Linked DNA regions of Caenorhabditis elegans. The protein of the gene in region 1 purifies or fractionates together with the protein of each later gene. This does not show direct contact. Each region holds a gene or a part of one and is shown on either strand. Other genes may lie near its edges. The genes, in order: trp-1 and fbxb-112.

Evidence for each region.
Region 2: the proteins of trp-1 (region 1) and fbxb-112 fractionate together in Caenorhabditis elegans (co-fractionation; one large-scale study listed by BioGRID). This does not show direct contact.

Annotation. Positions count from the first base shown.
Region 1 is NC_003281.10:8,532,556-8,543,925, forward strand, and holds trp-1 (Transient receptor ion channel domain-containing protein), read left to right. Parts: upstream 1-3,364; coding exon 3,365-3,390; intron 3,391-3,791; coding exon 3,792-3,932; intron 3,933-4,264; coding exon 4,265-4,322; intron 4,323-4,369; coding exon 4,370-4,526; intron 4,527-4,575; coding exon 4,576-4,789; intron 4,790-4,845; coding exon 4,846-5,233; intron 5,234-5,339; coding exon 5,340-5,489; intron 5,490-5,533; coding exon 5,534-5,671; intron 5,672-5,753; coding exon 5,754-5,950; intron 5,951-5,994; coding exon 5,995-6,175; intron 6,176-6,428; coding exon 6,429-6,998; intron 6,999-7,168; coding exon 7,169-7,368; intron 7,369-9,162; coding exon 9,163-9,384; intron 9,385-9,510; coding exon 9,511-9,676; intron 9,677-9,762; coding exon 9,763-9,893; intron 9,894-9,939; coding exon 9,940-10,096; downstream 10,097-11,370. Other genes in the region: ZC21.6 (uncharacterized protein), read right to left, coding at 10,428-10,577, 10,765-10,791, 10,967-11,050, 11,125-11,229. UniProt on the Caenorhabditis elegans protein: Could mediate calcium entry and form a calcium permeant channel.
Region 2 is NC_003280.10:3,486,718-3,494,448, forward strand, and holds fbxb-112 (F-box domain-containing protein), read left to right. Parts: upstream 1-4,379; 5' UTR 4,380-4,461; coding exon 4,462-4,544; intron 4,545-5,317; coding exon 5,318-5,774; 3' UTR 5,775-5,866; downstream 5,867-7,731. Other genes in the region: Smu-2 suppressor of mec-8 and unc-52 protein, read left to right, coding at 1-236, 1,624-1,954, 3,154-3,360; Y49F6B.9 (RBR-type E3 ubiquitin transferase), read right to left, coding at 7,330-7,613.

The DNA.
Region 1 (11,370 bases):
GAGACATTTTGGAACCGAATGGTCTTCATACTTGTTTTTTTGAGTAACGAACAAAAGTTAAATATTCAAAAACATACGCAGAGCCATGTTCTTTTTTAAAATTAAACCTTATTATCGTTTATGAGGTTTTTTTTAGAATTTTTGTTACTCTATTGGTTCAATTTCTGTAACGTCCTTAGAAAGTATGTAGACTGATCACGCGGGGCGGTTTGAATGCCATAAAATATGGGCTGAACGTTGGCCATTGGAAGTAGGCACGCATGTAGGCATGTGGCAGGCGTGGGCCGCCTAGATGGCAAAAAGGAAGGCAAATAGTTTTTTGCCATCTAGCTTGTTATTAACTTTTTAATAACTTAATAATTTTTAGGTTAACAATTTTAACTTTTAAATCTAACAATTATTTCGAGGTGAAACTAAAATGGAGTGACAAGAATATTCGAAAAGTCGCAACAAAAAAAATAGAAACAAATCATTTTCTGATTTCTTGTCACTGTTTTCTCATATCAAAACAGATTATTTCCTTAAATTTCTTTTTTTTTCTCCGATTTTTTGCTACCCCCCGTATTCTAAAGAAGTCCACAGATTTAGGAAGACATCATAATTAAATGACGACAAATTTGTCGCGGGAAACGGCATTAAATAAGGAGATTAAACTGGTGGAGCAACGAGGATGAATCACAAGAATTCGTATCAGTATTTGGATACGGAGACGTAAGTTTTATTTTTAGTTTTTAATTTATTTTGTGTTTGAAAAAAATTTGCAGATTTGTTTTGATATAAAAACAAAACATATGAAAGTTTGCGGTTTGCAAAAATATTTGAAAATTTATATTGAACAATTTTTCAATGGTGGCGTAAATATAAGATTCTGTTTCTAAAAATTGATGATTATGGTATGTCCAACTGAAATTTTGATGAAGTATCATTAAGTTGTTTATTTAACTGAAAGTTACAGAAAAATTTAAATCTTTCGGCGAAACTGCAGACGGAAAATGATCCCTGCACTTTGCGTAAAAAATGCCCAAAAGAAGTGAAAACATCGAGTTCCCCACACGATGAAAAATGTGCTCTTTGCGCTGAAATATGATTCAAGCGAGTACATAACTGGTCTCTAGGGACATTTATTCTTCTATAGTTTTCATAAATTTTCAAGTTTCTTGCAAAACACGTTCAATTTTCAAGTTTAACTTTAGTGATTGAGCCGAATTTTTTGGACACATAGACTTCCTTCTTCGGACGCCTTATCATTGTTGATTCTGGTATGAAACGCTTTTTAGAAATATTTTCAATAGTTAAAAAACCTTCCAAGTTCAATTGTACTCACAAATATTTTCACTAGAAGTCTACTTTCTAGTCCTCCTAAAAAAGTCAAGACTTTTGACATCTTCAGTCTTTCTCGCTCGTCTCTTCTCGAATAAGATTACCGGCGGTTCTTACGAAAACGACAAGTTGTGAGCGCATTTCTATTTTCAACGTCTTCAAACGAAAATCAAAAAGGGAGAAGAGGGTCCCCCGAAAAAAATTGGGGGCGGAGTCATGTTCGATATCACAAGTCTCTTTTTTTTTTCGTTTTGACAGGAAAACGAAGGCTCATCTCGTCAAATTCGGGGCGACATCTTCCTTTTCTTTTCCATCTGCTTCTTCTCCTTCTTTCTTCTGTTTTTCTTCTTTTCTCTTTTAGATCATTCTTCTTATTCAACCGCCGTGGTTCCTCTTTCTCCACTCTTCATCATCATCTTCACACTCACTGATTTTTTGAGCCATTCCCATCTACTCTTATCCACCCCCTTCGGGCATTTTTCACACACTTTCCTTCAGTCTTTCCACCTCTTTCCGTGTCTACTGGGTTAGAGAATTTCAAGCTTATGAACATCTTCTTCGAACAGTTTTAAATTGTGTGCCTGTTGTTTACTTGAATTTGTGTTCGGCTAATTCTTTTGAGTCGGGCTAAGTTCCTGTCTACCACCTATTTTTGCATTTACAATTAGAAGCAAACTCTGGAAATTGTTAATTTTTTTCTCGTGCTGTTTAAATGAAAAAAAAACGGATAGTTGATTTATTATTTTTTTCGAAGTTCAAGTAGGAGCATTTTCATTAGTTACACTGGAAATGCATTTTCAAGCTTAAAAGCAAAGTAATTATTATTGACAACTGTTTGATCAAAATTCATCCCATTCATCCCTCTATTTTGTAGAAAAAAGGTGAAAAATAGCTTGAGAAAAGGATCTCTGATTTATTGTAAACACCTTGTTGTCAAATCACAGACACTTTTTAAAAAAGAAAACATCTCAATTGACAACAGTTGTTTCAATGACCAAACTCCTCTTACTATCCAGACAAACAAATGTTCACAAAAAATACATTTTCCCTCCTGGTCATCCATAGCTCAAAGACCCCACCACGTGTCCCATGTTTTTGAACTTTCAGAAATGTCAGGTCCGTTGGGAAATCTTCCAAATATTTTCTCAGAGATTTGTAGACGTTCTTTCATTTGTTTGTCTTTCCGAGAAGCTGAAAACCTATTTGTATTATACATGTGTCTACTGCCTGAGCAATTTGATATTCGATATTCGCAATGACAAAAGAAGGGTAGGTAATTGGAGGCAACAGCTGATCCGTCTGTGGTTTATAGAAAAAATCTATCTGACATTTTTTGGAGTATCATCGGTGAGGTTTTTTATTGAAATACCCTCATAAAAGCCCATCATGATGAAATATTGAAGTTTTTAAATTTTTTAGTGGTTTCGAGACTTGCTTAAGGCCTACAAAGTTCATATATAAAAAGTAATATACAATGCCCCACCTAAGTTAAGGGATTAAATTGAGTTGGTATTTAAAAAATACAAAAGAGAAGCGCGGTGCGATCGACCTTTTTTGGCTGTAGTTTTAGTTTCTAAATAAAGGTTTTTTGTTCTGAAAAACCTTTCATATACAATTTTTTATTAGTATTATACTTGCAGTTTTCAAACTACCTATTACTGTCCTTCTCTATTTTGAATAATCCTAAAATTATTATTTCTCAACTCAGTCGTCCTCTCGTTTCTTCGTCGAAGTTTCCACATGTGTTTTCATTTTCCATTTAATTTCCCATGTCTCATCACTTCACAATCATCATCATCTGTTAGAAATTTGTCCTCACGGGATTTTGACACAACTATAAAAATTTCTTTCCTCTATCCTTTGACCGACTTTAAACATTTTTTTCGAAAAAAAATTGACGAAGAGGTTTTTGTTTAATTTCAATTTTTGTCTCTCAGATAAACTTGTAAATTTGTATAAGCTTTAAAAATGTTCAGCTTCTTCTATTCTTCTCACTAGGACTAGAAGAAGCTTCTATCAATTCGTGCCGACAACAACGAAGGGAATGATTGGAATGGAGGATGGCGTCCGGTGCGCATAACTTTTTAGAAGGAAATATAGACGAGACCCTCCACTTGAGTTAATAAGTTTTTCGAGTGCTCTATAACTTAAGAATCAGGGGGCTATGTTAAGCATTTGCGGGGGCTCTAGACTGAACTACGTAAGCGCGGGGTGTAATAGAGGGACCACAACAAAACGATTTTATCGGTTGTTTCTTTCCAATTTGCCCCAACAACTAGCCATCAAACGTTTAACAAGAAAGTTTGGCGGAAAAGCACAAACGATTCAATTTTATTAGGAGGAGCTTTTTTCCCTGCTTTCCACTCTATCAAAGTAGATTTTACTTCACTTTGCCAAAGTACAAACACACAAAAAAAAACTCTAGGGGCACCTTAAAGCAGGAAATGGAATAATTTTGTTTAAAATTGAAGGATGCTGTCGGCAGCAGGACGCCGATTCTCTCGATGTGCTCCATCGCCAAGGCCAAGGAGGAACTACGCTTTGGCGAATATCCCACCACCGGCTGCTGTTCACATTCGGACAAATGATATGATTAGTCCAGAAGAAAGAAGGTTTGTTGTTTTATAAAGTGTTGGGCACTTTTCCAGTAAAAACATTTCTCCGTACGTGTTTTCATCTTGAGCTTTTTCAGCATTTATATTAAAACTTACCATAGTTTAGCTATTGGTATTGCACCATAAGTAGTTTTGTTAGATATATTAATTGAACTAAAGACAATCTGCTACTCGTAGGGGCTTACCTTTAAGCTGCTCGAAACGACCTCAATATATTTATATATAATAAACAATAATAATGGGTTATTTTCGAGAAAAAGTCGTGTAAAAAGTTTAAAACACGCCCAATTATTACATGGTTACTACATATTGTCTAATAATCTGTTTAGGTTCCTCGAAGCTGCAGAACTTGGAAACAAGCCCACATTACAAGAATGCTTGGATTACGTGAGTTATTTCAAATCATTGTTTTTTTGAAATTAAAATTATTGAAGGACGGAGACCGCCGTCTCAACGTGAATTGCCTCGATTCAATGGGAAGAACAGCTTTGGAAATTGCAGTTGACAACGAAAATATGGAAGTTGTTGAACTTTTGCTCCAACAACCAGATATCAGAATTGGCAATGCACTGCTATGTGCAATCCGAGAAGGTCCGTAAACCACAGCATTTTTAAAAAATATTTTTTATAATTATTCCAGGTGTATATCGTCTTGTCGAAGTTCTTGTAAATCATCCGAATATTACTCGAGAAATGCTTGGAGACGGTTGGAGTCAAGCTCTTGATCCTTCCGAAGCTGCTAGTGCCGAATATTCAAGTGATATTTCTCCGGTTATATTGGCAGCACAACTCAACCAATTTGAGATTTTGCAAATGTTAATTCGAAAAGATGCAAGTATTGAAAAACCGCACAGGTATTTTTTAAAATACAAACAAATTTGGGGTCGAAATACCAATCCTAACATTTCAGACATTCCTGCATTTGCGAAACATGCGATCGTGAGCGTTTGAACGACTCATTACAGTACTCTCTAAAACGAATCAACACATTTCGAGCTCTTGCAAGCCCTGCATGGATGTCTCTTACAAGTCCCGATCCAATTCTATCCGCTTTCAAACTTTCATGGGATCTACAACGATTGGCATTTGAGGAGCATGAATTCAAAGAGACATATTTGCAACTTTCGGAGCAATGTAAACAATATTCATGTGATTTATTAAGTCAATGTCGAAGTTCTGAAGAAGTTATCGCAATTTTAAATAAGGATGGAAATGTGAATGATGATAATATTGATGTTTGGGCAAGTAAACTATCGCTTTCAAGGTTAAAACTGGCTATCAAATATGAACAAAAAGCTGTGAGTTATTTTTTTTGAAATTGTGCAACAAATAATTTATTATTTCAGCTCAACTAAATTCCCTGAACACATATTATTAAACTTAATCAAACTTATCAATTTTCAGTTTGTCTCTCATCCTCATTGTCAACAGTTGCTCACCTCTATCTGGTATGAAGGTATTCCATATCGGCAGCGGAGTGGTACCTGGGCTAATTTTTTCCTCTACGCTTTTCTACTTTTTCTCTGGCCAATATTCTGTCTCATGTATATTCTAGTGAGTATTTGAAAAATTTTCAATTTTGACAAAGATAATTTCAGATGCCAAAAAGCCGATTGGGTCGGTTAGTACGGTCTCCATTCATGAAATTCTTTTACTACTCGGTGTCGTTTGCAACGTTTTTAGGACTTTTAACGTGGGCCACTTTTGAAGATTATCGATACGAAAAAGGAGAAAGGGTTAGTTTTAAGAAATTTGGAACATTTCTGAAGTTGAAATTATTAACTCAAAAAAATTCTATATAGGAAATCATATTTCCAGGGTGGAATGACAAGAGCATCTGACCGTGGTCCACCAGCAACATGGGTTGAATCACTCGTATTCACATGGGTAATTGGAATGTTATGGTCAGAAATTAAGCAATTATGGGAAGAAGGTTTTAAACGATATATGAGACAATGGTGGAATTGGCTTGATTTCCTGATGATTTGCCTTTATTTATGCACCATTTCAATAAGGTATAATATATCAGAACTATACAAAATATAAAATTGATTTTCAGACTAAGCGCGTATTATATCTTTACATATCGTGAGGATCCATATCGGTACACAGTCCGCACATATTGGACATCTGAAGAACCAATGTTGGTAGCGGAGGCGTTGTTCGCTGTTGGAAATGTTTTTTCGTTTGCTCGAATTATTTACTTGTTCCAGACAAATCCGTATTTGGGGCCACTGCAGGTAAATAAATTTTGCATATAGCAATAAATAATTGACTTTGTGCAGAAGGGATAGTGTTGGGCAATACTCGGTTTAGACCGAGCCCCCAGCCAGCAAAGTTAAAAAGGTCAAATTTGGCCAGTTGGAGCAAACTGAAATAAAACTTGGACTCAGCCTAAACACAGTCTTGCACAAATTTTTCCACCTTTCAAGCCAAGTTATTTTGTGTTAAAACAAAAATGAGCCTCACTTTCAATTAAAAGACAATTTTCAGATATCCCTTGGATGTATGTTGGTGGACGTTGCAAAGTTCTGCTTCATCTTCGTCCTAATAATAAGTTCTTTCTCAATTGGCCTTGCTCAACTCTACTGGTACTATGATCCAAATACAGATGTATGCCTACCTGGTGCCACATGCAAACACAGTTCCAATGTATTCTCCTCGATTGCCGATTCCTATTTGACACTTCTCTGGTCTCTATTTTCGATTACAAAACCAGAAGATACCGATGTTGTGGAAAATCACAAAATAACTCAATGGGTTGGACAAGGAATGTTTATTATGTATCATTGTACTTCAATAATTGTCTTACTTAACATGCTCATTGCTATGATGTCTCATTCGTTTCAAATTATCAATGATCATGCGGATCTTGAATGGAAGTTTCATCGAACGAAGCTTTGGATGGCTCACTTCGATGAAGGATCAAGTCTTCCACCTCCATTTAATATTATAGTCACTCCGAAGTCATTAATATATGTGATGAATTGTCTATTCAACACTGTCAGATGGCTTCTAGGAAAGTACACTTATCAGAAAAACAGGAATCGGGCAACTATCAGGGTAAGATTTTCGAATTTTGAAAATGAAAACTGCCTCCACAACAAATTCGATGCAAAATTAATAGAAGCTGTGAAACCGAGGAAATACGGTCAATAATCTTCAAAGACGTTTACCAGAACTACCAAGAAAATATAAAGCATTCATCTTTACTTATTTTTCCCTTATTCCAGCGTCCTGGCTATTCTCGAAAAAGAAATGAAATGGAAAAATCTGGTGGTCACGACGATGATTCTTTGAAACCATTGACATATGCTGATATAATTACAAGACTTGTGGCAAGATTTATACATCAAACAAAGAAAGATATGAAAATGGACGGAGTTAATGAAGATGATCTACATGAAATCAAACAAGACATTAGTAGTTTGAGGTGAGCCATTTTAAAATTTTTATATGAAAAATTTCAAGATCCTACAATATCTTCGTTTCATCCAAATAGCAGTTGAAAATCTGCCAAGCAGCCTCTAATAAATGCCGAGTGTACAGACTCCGCCCCTTTTTCGCGTTTTTTCGCGTTTTTTTTGGCTTGCGAAAAAATGTCACACTACGTTTTCATTCACAACTCCTGAACCGTGTGACTTCATGCTCTAATATTTGAAATCCTACTAGAAATATTTTGCCCCACGGTGGAGCAGAAAACGGCACTAAGTTCGGAGCAAAATTGAGCCCAGGGCGGCTTTCCCCAGTTTGAAAAAATTTTTTGTTGCTCTTTTTACCCCCAAAAAAGCATGTTTTAATTGAATTAAAATTCGGGTTTTGCTCGGTTTTGTTTCAAATTTATGTGCAAGATACTACTCAGAGAGACTGATTTTTTGAAAAAAAGTTTGAGTTTATAAGTGCAAAAGGAAAAAAGTTGTGATAAAACAAAAGGCCAAAAAATGACATTTTGCCAAAAAAAAATTTTTTTCCGAAAAAGTAGTTTTTCGTCTTTATCTCAAGTTCTACTTCATCTTTTTCGATACTTTTTTTTCTACCCCACGTAAAAAAGTACGCTGAACACGATTTTCAACTCAGAATTAAGAAAAGTTTTATGAGTCGGCCGAGCAAGACGAATAAGTGCCACATTTTGCACACTTTCCCATTTTCGCGAATCTACTTTTTCAATCATAACTCGGTCAGTTTTCAAGTTTTCTTAGTTTTCCAAAAATTGACGTGTAGGTCTCATCAAGACGCATCGAGACATATAAAATGTGTAAAAAGTTCAGTGGGAAAGTTTTTCAAGAAAACAATAATTCAAAAATTTAGTATTGGGGGGAGTGGTTTCCTGGGTCTCCTGAACATTTTTTCCACTAAAGTTTTGCGGAATGTATTTTTGATTCATAGTTTTTGATTTTATTTAATGGAAGATGAAGTTTCGTCGCATTAGAAATACTCTGCCAAGAGATATTATTTTTATTAATTTTCAGGCCAAAACTTGTTTTTTTCTACAAATCGACCGGTTTACGAGGTATAGCCCTCAACTGTACGTCTCCTTTTTGGGAAATCAATAATGAGTACAATCCTGTAATAAAATTTTCAAAAATTCGTTTTCCCGCTGACATATCAGTAATAAACGGTTTTCGAACGTCTTCCCCAAATAGTAATAATTGAAGAAAGCGGAATCGAAAGACGACTTCCTCCAGAAAATTTTCTTCCCTACATCCCAGTTTGAGGTGTCTCCTGCATGGTCGAGTGGTTAGTGCGAATGACTGCAGAAATTTTGGTAGTTGGTTCAATTCTACCAAGTGATAAATTTTTTTGTTTTTTTGTGAGTAATCGGGATTCGAATAGAAATACTCGATTTCATACAAAATATGGGTACGTCTCCCCTAATATAAAGCCTCCTCAAACTTCAATCAATCAAAACTCAGCTTTAACTGATTCATCGGGTGCATCTGTTTTTGGTCAAACCGAACTCAAAAATCAATAAGACTCCCACCTACTGAAATTTTCACGAACCCTCTAACAGGTTCGAGGCGAAGCCGAGAGCCTACGCCCGGCAAGGGGACTCGCCTTACACCCCCTACAACCGGCGGGCCCGCAGGGCCCGCTAGTCTGAAAATCTAGAAATACAGAAAAGTTTTGGTTTTTAGGTAAAAACGATTCTGTATTTTTAGATTATCAGATTAAATATCCAGCTTTTTCCTGCTCAAAAAATTATCATAATTTAATTAATACGTTAAAGATACGAACTCCGAGATGATCGTCGTCGTGAAATCGTTCGCAGCTCATCACATATTGATGCAGTGAAACGAGATATTATGCGTACAATGAGTACAACATCACGTCGACCTTACGGTGGAAGTATGCGTCTTCCAAAGACACGACCATCAGTTGCAGAAGAATCAGAAGAAGATGATAAAAGTGATGAAACAAGTTCAACAGACGAGGAGGCTGATGAGACGAGGTTTTTCCTAAAGTACTTTCTTTCAAAACTTCTACGCTTTTTTCAGTTTTAAAAATAGTGTAGTGTAGTTGAAACTCCTTATTTGCAGTATTTTAGAAATGATTTATAAAAATTTAACAATTAAAGATCTCGGAAGTCATCAGTACTCTACATTCCCCCTGTCAACTCAACTCTACCTGGAATTATAAGTGAAGAAGCTCCAGTTAAGAAAAGCACAAAAAGACGTGCAAGTGAGGCTGATTCAAAACTTCCCGATAGACCTTTATCAGATACTTATACATCTTCATTTACGGTAAGTAGACAAAAGGGTTGGTGTATTTTACGGTTGTACAAAAAATTCACCATTCCGCTTCAAAAAAATATTGCCGATACTTTCAGCCTAAACTGTTACCGGTATTTGCTCAACCACCACACAGTGCTCTTCGAAAAACGGATACATCAATGAGCTTCCCAATCAACGGAACAGCTCTGGATACTTCAATTGTAAAACCTCCAAGGGGAGTTTTGAGGTAGATCTGAATATTCCTTTTTTACTGAAAATTGTCAATTTTCCAGGGCTTCCCAAGAAAACCTACCAGCTGTGGAATTGATCGAAACGCTGAAAAAGGAGATGAATGAGAAATTGGATCGATTAATAAGTGGAATCTCTGAAAATGTGAAGAGTCCCAGCCCTGCATCTCATAGTCATGTCGGTTTTAATGTAGAAAAATAGTTTCAATTTATGTTTCCTCTAATGTCAACGGGTACATATATATTTCTAATTTAGGTAATAATCGAATAATAAAAATTATATTATAAACACTTCTTTCAATCTTCGTTATTCTATAGATCTAGATATCACATAAAACAAATTTTCTAAACGTTTCTGGCGTTTTCTCGTTTTGAGGTTCCAATAGAGCTCGTACAAAGTGCCTTATGTCGCTAAATTGAAACTACTGTAAAAGTAAATTATTTATTTTATCAGTTGATATCAACCCAGTAAAACAAAAAAAGTTCATTTGAAAGTTTAAAAAAACAACAAAAAGAAAGAGATTTAATATTATTTAGGCTATATTTTCTTCTATAATTGTTGCACTTTTCTGAGCATTTATTTTCAGTCTCCTACTCCTTGATGGCTTAATCTTCATTAATGATTCCATTTGCACACTCTCAGTTTTTCTAGATGGTCCCGTCGATGTCTTGTTGCATGATATCTATAATTTAATAGCTGAAATTCCAATCAATTTCCGAACTAAATTAGCTCAGAAGTTTACTACAAATTAAAAATAAGCATTCATAATGTTATAGACATGCGCAACAAGCAAACGTGTTCGGTGGAGCGCTAGGGTAAGAGTGATGTGCATAAGTGGGATGAATATATTAATTGTTATGTTAACATACCTCTATTTGATTCAAAATTAGTTTAGTCTGAAAAAAGCGAAATATTTACGCGGAAAAGTCAAGCAAGGTGAAGTTTATTTGATAGTTATCACTTGGAGCTATTGGTTCTTTTTAATTGAAGTTAATGAGAAACTCATAAAGACTTATCCGAAAATAATTCAATTCCAAGTGACTAACTAGCAAATAAAGTAATAATTCGTACATCGTTAGCCGTGTTAGTGGGACCAGTTAGCAAGCGATGTCGAATACTGTTGAAAAACGTTCGCCGAAGCACGTCGTCATTAAACTGAAATTACAAACCGATGAACACATATCGATGAATACCTTTGTGTGAAACACGAAGAAACACGCAATGTCTACCGTATCAACTGTTGCATCAATAACCATTCGACATATCCATCCGATAAGGGCAGCTGCTGTATTCCACATATACAGTACAACTGGGTCAAGACACATTGGTTCATTCTGAATTGGAAAATGTAGTTAAAAAATATCAAAAGAGAGTGTTTCCTCTGGAATGTTTCAAGTCGAACACTGGTCTTGAGATGGGCGCTTGTAAAATTTGGTTTTATAAAAGAAAACTTTGACGGTCGCCAATAATTCTGA
Region 2 (7,731 bases), on another chromosome or scaffold:
AAAAAGAAGAAAAAAGAGGAATTTCGAGTTCAATTGGGCTCCAGAGATGCTCCAGGAGCAGCAGCAGCAGCTCCTGGAGCCAAAGGAGATAGTATCTATGATGATCTTGACGATTATGTTCCATCAAGAAAGTCTAGAGATTCAAGAGACGCAGGTAGAAGAGGAAGTCGGCGGGATAGATCACGGGATAGATCAAGGGATCGGGATCGTGATAGAGATCGTGATAATCGGGATAGGTTGGTTTTTCCGAGAGAAAAACGCTGAAAAATGCCGAAAATTTTGAATTTGCAGGCTTTTTAGGTGCAAAAGTACGGAAAAATCGGAAAAAAATCAGGAAAACATGGGGAAAATCCAATTTTCCAGAAAAAATGTTTGAAAAAATTGAAAACTTTTGTTTTTTTAGTAATAAAGTTTTAAAAAATGGCAAAAATAGCTGAAAACAGCGAAAAAAAAAAATGTTTTTTTCAGGAAAAAATTTGCAAAAAAATGAAGAGCAACAATAATTCCCTTTTTTTTCTGTGTTTTTTTCGGAAAAATTGAGATCGAAAACGAAAAACAGCGAAAATTCCCAATTTTCCCAGTTTTTAAAACATTTTTTTGTAAAAATTTGGAAAAAACGAGTTTTTTCAGAAAAAAATGTGAAAAAAAAGGTAAATTACCAATTTATGCTTTTTTTTCGATCGAGTAAAAAATCGATTTTTCCAAGATTTTTCGCGAAAAATTCAAAAAAAAAGAACGAAAATTCTCGATTTTCTACTTTTTTTCGAAAAAAAAAGGAAATTATAGATTTTTCCAAGATTTTTCGCGAAAAAATTCGAAAAAAATGTTTTTTTCGAAAATTTCAGATTTTCTAATTTTTTCAGAAGAATTCGAAAAAAAAAATCAAAAAATTCGCAATTTTTAGATTTTTTTAAAATCTCAATTTTCTATAATTATTTTCCTAAAAAAATGTAATTAAAAAACCGCTAAAAACGGTAAATTCCAAATTTTTGCATTTTTTCAAAAAAAATTTGAAAAAAAAAATCAGAAAATTCTCAAATCTATTCCCTTTTTTTAAAATTTTTCCCAAACCAAAAAAAAAAACGGTAAATTTTCAAATTTAGCATTTTTCCAAAATTAAACATAAAAAAAAACGCAAATTTCCAAATTTCGTTTTTTTTTCAAAAAAGTTGAAAAATCCAGAAAATACCCTCTTGTCCATGAAAAAATACGAAAATTTTCAATAAAAAATCAATTTCTTCTTAAAAAATTAATTCTCGATTTTTCCATGAAAAAAAATCAAATATTAATTAAATTTGAAAAAAAAAAGAATTTATCTAATAGTTTCGTTTTTTTTCAGAGGAAAAATTTGAAAAAAAAAACAGTAAATTCTCTTTCTTTTTGAAAAAAAAAATTATCGATTCTTCCAAGTTTTTTCCCGAAAAAATCGACAAAAAAACGAGAATTTCCGATTTTCTATTTTTTTTTTCAAAAAAATGTGAAAAAAAAAATTAAAAAATTCCAATTTTGCATTTTTTTTTCAAAAAAAATTTAAAAACACCGTATAATTCCCGATTTTTCCATGAAAAAATACGAAAAATTCCAATAAAAATCAACTATTTTAAAAATTTGCCGTTTTTTCAGATATTTCGAAAAATCTGCCAACTCTCGTCGCGAGGAAGAACAAAACCGCCGTGAGCAGCAACGTGAACGTGAACGAGCCGAACAAGAACGCCGCCGTGAACGTGAAAAAGAACGTGAACAGGAAAAAGCCAAGGAACGAGAGAAAAAGCGAAAAGAATTGGAAGAATCATCAGGCTACGATGAATGTTATCCAGGCGGCCTAGTAGAGATGGGCGGTGCATGGGATTCAGATGAAGAAGCCGACTATTCGAAAATGGATGCAGGGCCTAAGAAGAATCAAGCTGTTAATCGATGGGATTTTGATACGGAGGAGGAGTATGCCTCTTATATGGTGCTTACAATTTTCTGGAGAAAAATATTTTAAAAAATAACGAAAATGGACCGAATTTTTGGAGAAAATTTTAAAAAAAACGACATTTTTCCCAAAAAATTGAAAAATTTCCGAAAAAACGTTCAAAATTTTCAAAAAAGGAGCATTTTTCGAAAAAAAAAACGATAATACGGAAATTTTTTGATTTTCCAGTTTTTTTCTCAAAGAAAATCGGAAAAAGGTTTTTTTTCTTTAAAAACGTCCAAAATTTTTCGAAAAAAGAGAAAATTTTCGATTTTCCGATTTTTTTCAGAAAAAAATTGAAAAAAAAAGAAATTTTCCGATTTTCTCAGAGAAAGACGAAAAGACGATATTTTTCGGAAAAAAGTTGAAAAATCAAAAAAAAAACCGAAAAACGGCCGAAATTTTCTAAAAATTGGAAATATTGTCGATTTTTCGAAAAAAAAGAGTCAAAAGTTTTCAAAAAAATATATTTTTTCGATTTTCCGTTTTTTTTTTTCAGTAAACATTGAAACAAACGAAATTTTTCCAAAAAAATCCAATTATTTTCCCAAATATCGAAATATTTTTGATTTTCCGTTTTTTTCAGAAAAAAGTTAAAAAAAAAAGGGAAAATTAAGATTTTCCTGATTTTTTTTGAGAAAAAATCGATAAAAATTGAATATTCTGGAAAAAACCTTTAAAAAATTCGAATTAAATCGAAAAACGTCCAAAATTTTCTAAAAAATTGAAATTTTTTTTGAAAAAAAACGGAAAAATTTAGATTTCCCGACTTTTTTCAATGAAAAATCGAATTTTCGTTGACTTTTCATTAAAAAATCCAAACGCATTTTTTTCCACTAAAATCTCGAAAAAGTGTCATATTGCACCATATTGTTTCCACATTCATATTATTTTGAGCTAAATCAGGTGATTTTCTGTATTTTGATACTAATTTCTATTTTTAGAAAAAATGTGGGAACAATATGGTGCAATATGACATTTTTTCGAGATTTTAGTGGAGAAAAAATGCGTTTGGAAACGAATTTTATAATAAAAAGTCAACGAAAATTCGATTTTTCATGGAAAAATAGGGAAATCGAAAACAAATTTGCTTTTTTTTCAAAAAAAAAAACGGAAATTCGAAATTTTTCCGTTCTTTCAAAAAAAAAATCGATTTTTTTGGAAATTTTTTTTTTCAAATTTTTAAAAATTTCCAGGAAGGACGTGAAGCTCTGCCAAAAGCCGCCTATCAATACGGAGTCAAAAATGGAGAAGGTGGCCGAAAGAACAAGAAACAGTCGGCAGTGTCGGATGCGAAGCGGCTCGATCGGGAGCTCAATGAGATTAACAAGATTATGGATAAACGGAAGGCCGGAGGAGATGGAGCCGGTGGTGGTGGAGATTATAAGAAGCCTAAATATTGATTTTTTTAATGATTTTTATGAATTCTTTGCTTCTTTTCCGTTCGTTTCAATAATAAATTTTACTCTAAAAAGTGATTTTTTAAAAAAATCTTTTTAAAAAAGTTGCTCTGAAAATGATAAAAATCGAATTATTTTTTTCGAATTTTTAACGGTGCAAATGCGCTCCACAGCAAATCCGGAAAACGCCCCGCCCTCAAAGCATGGGTCTCGTTAGGTATAAGCCGATATAGGTAAAGGGATAGGTAAAGGGATAGGTATAGGTATAGGTAAAGGCATAGGCATAGGCATAGGTATAGGTTTTGGTATAGGTATAGGTATAGGTATAGGTATAGGTATAGGACTAGGTATAGGTATAGGTATAGGTATAGGTATAGGTATCGGTATAGGTATCGGTATAGGTATAGGTATAGGTATAGGGATAGGTATAGGTATAGGTATAGGTATAGGTATAGGAATAGGTATAGGTATAGGTATAGGTATAGGTATAGGTATAGGTATCGGTATAGGTATAGGTATCGGTATAGGTATAGGTAAAGGGATAGGTATAGGTAAAGGGATAGGTATAGGTATAGGTAAAGGGATAGGTATAGGTATAGGTAAAGGCATAGGCATAGGCATAGGTATAGGTTTTGGTATAGGTATAGGTATAGGTATAGGTTTAGGTATAGGTATAGGAATAGGTATAGGTGTATAGGAATAGGTATAGGTATAGGTATAGGTATAGGTATAGGTATAGGTATCGGTATAGGTATCGGTATAGGTATAGGTAAAGGAATAGATATAGGTATAGGTATAGGTATAGGTATAGGTATAGGTATAGGTATAGGTATAGGTATAGGTATAGGTATAGGTAAAGGGATAGGTATAGGTATAGGTATAGGTATAGGTATAGGTATAGGTATAGGTATAGGTATAGGTATAGGTATAGGTATAGGCTGGCCACGACGCAAATACCTCCTCGTGGGAAGTGTGCGGGAAGAGATCATAGACTATTCCTACCATACTGCGTTACATACGCGGTATTAAATACCAACTATCGATCATTCAGCCATTGTCTTTGGCTGCCATTGTGCTCACTTGTTGCTCAGCAGTCTTACTGCAATGTCTGTCGTCTCTTTTTCTCTTCTACGTCTTTCTAAAAAGGCACTGGATAATGTAACGAAGCACTTGAAATACATTAAAATGTAAGTTCGTAAGATTTTTTTTCTGTAAGGTTATGGTTAGGCATAGGCTCAGACCTAGGTTTAGACTTAGGCTTAGGCGTACCTGGAAACAAAATTGAATTTTCACAGTTTCACACGTCTTTTTCACAGTAAAAGCTAGTTTTTTAAATCATACCCGACAATTTTACAGTTTGTCGAAAAATTGATATCGGCATGCATTTTCTTAATTGTTTCAAATTTTTGTATACCAACGAGTCCGTTTCTCTTTCGGATTTTTTTTGATTTCTTACTAACTAACTGACTGATACTCAACAAATTATTAAAGGTGGAGTAGCGCCAGTGGGGATTTTGTCTAAATGCACTCATAATGATCCAAAACAACCGAATTTCATAATAAAACACTTCAAAAATTTTTCGATTTTTCACAATTTCCGGTCAAAGTTTTGGCAAATTGTCAAAATTTTGAAAAATACTAGCTTTTGAGGAAATTTAAAGAAATGTCGCATGTTTCGACCTCTACAATGTTTTAATACAAATAATTTTAACAAAATTAAAACATAAAAAATGTCGAAAAAAATTTTTTGGTCGACTTCCAAAATTATGAGTGGCAAAAACTGAATAATTGCCACTTTTTGACAGTAAATAAAAAATTTTCAAAATTTTTTGAAAAGTTTTATCATGATATTTGGTCATTTTGGGACCAAAGGAGTGGTTTTTTTTTACTCCACCTTTAATAAACCTAATATCGGAGACAGTTGATGTAAATATTAAATATTACAGTGACTTCTTTTCAGAATCGGACTAACCACGCTCTCCAAGAAGACGTCAAGGTTGTTTAGACTCAATTACAAGGAGGCTCGAATTTTTATTGATATTACTGAAACAATTAATATTTCAATTCGAGATCCATCGAAACATATAACAAGAAAGTTATTGAATGACGGCGTAGCCAATCTACATGACTATCGGTATATGGGACCAACATGGACTGCTGAATGGGTTTTAAAACATTTCGGAATACGGGATTGGATGGTTCTCGTTAAACAGCTGACTGGCCAGGAAGAAATTGAGAAGCTTTGTTTTAGAAAAAACCACCAAAACTACTCAATCGATGAATTCAAGAAGTTTTTCGAAGGATTCAAAGTATCATGTTTATCAATTATTGATCCATCATTTAACTCTCATGGTTTGATTCCCTGCTTTTCCCCTGAAAAAGTGATGCACTTGACTATCGAAAAAGCTTCTAACTAATCGATTCTCGCAGCAAACTTCGAAACCCTAGATATTCACGATGATAGCACTTACACACTGAACGATGTATTGGTAATGAATAGCCCGAATATCTTAATTTCTCTGGGAACACTGTCTGACGTTGAGCTCAACCTGTACTTGAAGCATTTCATTAAAGGCTCAAATCCGATGCTTGAGTTCTTGTTTTTGCTTTACGACTTTGATGATCAAATTATGAAGGAAGATGTTGTCTTCAAAGGAGTTCCTTATACAATTTTATCGCAAAATCTGGAATCATGTTACGTCAAAAAAGAGACTGGTGAGGAAGAATATGTATATGGTGGATATGAAATAACGAGAGATGATGGTAAAATGGCACTTGTTCATATCAAAAAAACGACGCTCATTTATCGAGTTCAAAGTTATTCTTGTTGGTTTAACTGAACGGGTATTACGGGACGGGCGTTATTGGCGGAGATTATTCTGACCAGGGACTCTATTTTGGTGACAAGAGAATTATGTGTCGAATGATATATTTTCTGAATGCTAATACAATGAACATACCGAATTCAAAATAAAATCTTGCCCAAATTGATGTTAAAACAATTTTTTTTACTTCGAATGCGTATTTAAGCCAAAATGTCGTTGTTTTTGAAGCTTCAGATATCGATGGACTTGGAAGATACAAGAAAATAGTCAACAGACAAAATATTAAGAACAATACGAAAATCATTGCAAAATATAATGTGCATTTAAAATGTTAAAAATTAGCATAAAATTTCATCGTCTTATGAGATGAATGAGATCGTCTTTGAAAGGAAATAGAAAAATTAAAGTGTTCATAATAATATAATGATTTTCGTATGTATTGTTCTTAATATTTTGTCAGTTGACTATTTTTTTGTATCTTCCAAGTCCATCGATATATGAAGCTTCAAAAACAACGACATTTTGGCTTAAATACGCATGCAGAGTAAAAAAATTGCCTTAACATCAATTTGGGCAAGATTTGATTTGATTTGATTTATTACGATTGGGATCGTGATGGAATAAAAGCAGTATAGTATAAAGACAGAAAAATAAATACACAATACATAGAATACACAATACAATAATCAAAAAGTTACGAATAAAGTACAAGCAAGAAAAGCAATTATTACCTGCAAAAGTTGATTAATTGGAACATTAAAGTGAACATTTAATTTATTAATTGTATTAATTAATGTACATTTAATTAATTGAATTATTTTATTTTAAATTCAATATGTTCATTGTATTAGCTTTCATAAAATATATCATTCGACCCACAACTCTCTTGACACCAAAAAAAGAGTCCATAGTGAGCTATCGTTGTATTTTTTTGGTTTTCTGTAGTTCAACTATGCTGTAAATTGTGCTCATTTTCTGATCTTCGCCATTTCTCGTGTATCATTGTTTTTCTCACTAATCGTTTATATAAATTTGCATTTTTTATTTAAAATTATTTTTTCACTATGTTTCACACTCAAAACCTCGAAAAACATACATTATTATTAAAAAATTAAATTATGATGTAAAATATTAAAAAGAGATTCTTCTAATTAAAATCATCGCCCGACGACGACGAGAAATCCTCCGAATAGTCTGATGACGTCACTGATGATGGTCCGGGTGCCGAGCCATCCGCATTTCGGTGCTCAGGCTCTGGCTCCGGCGGCGGAGCCAATGACATTGTTGCTCCATGGTAACCGTCCACGTGGAAGGTGTCTGCAATCGGAACCTCTCGTCGCTTCTTCTTTTGAACATAGTCGACGACATCGTGAACTAACGCCTTCGGTACCATGATGTACGTGTAGCCAAGTGCAAATGGAACGCCGATTGCTGGAAAATATTGATTTTTTGGAAAATTTGAAAAAATATTGGTGGGGTATGCGATTTTTTCCGGTCAAATTGAAGAATTTTAGCGAAATCTCTATGTGTCGATTTACGCGCGGCTCGT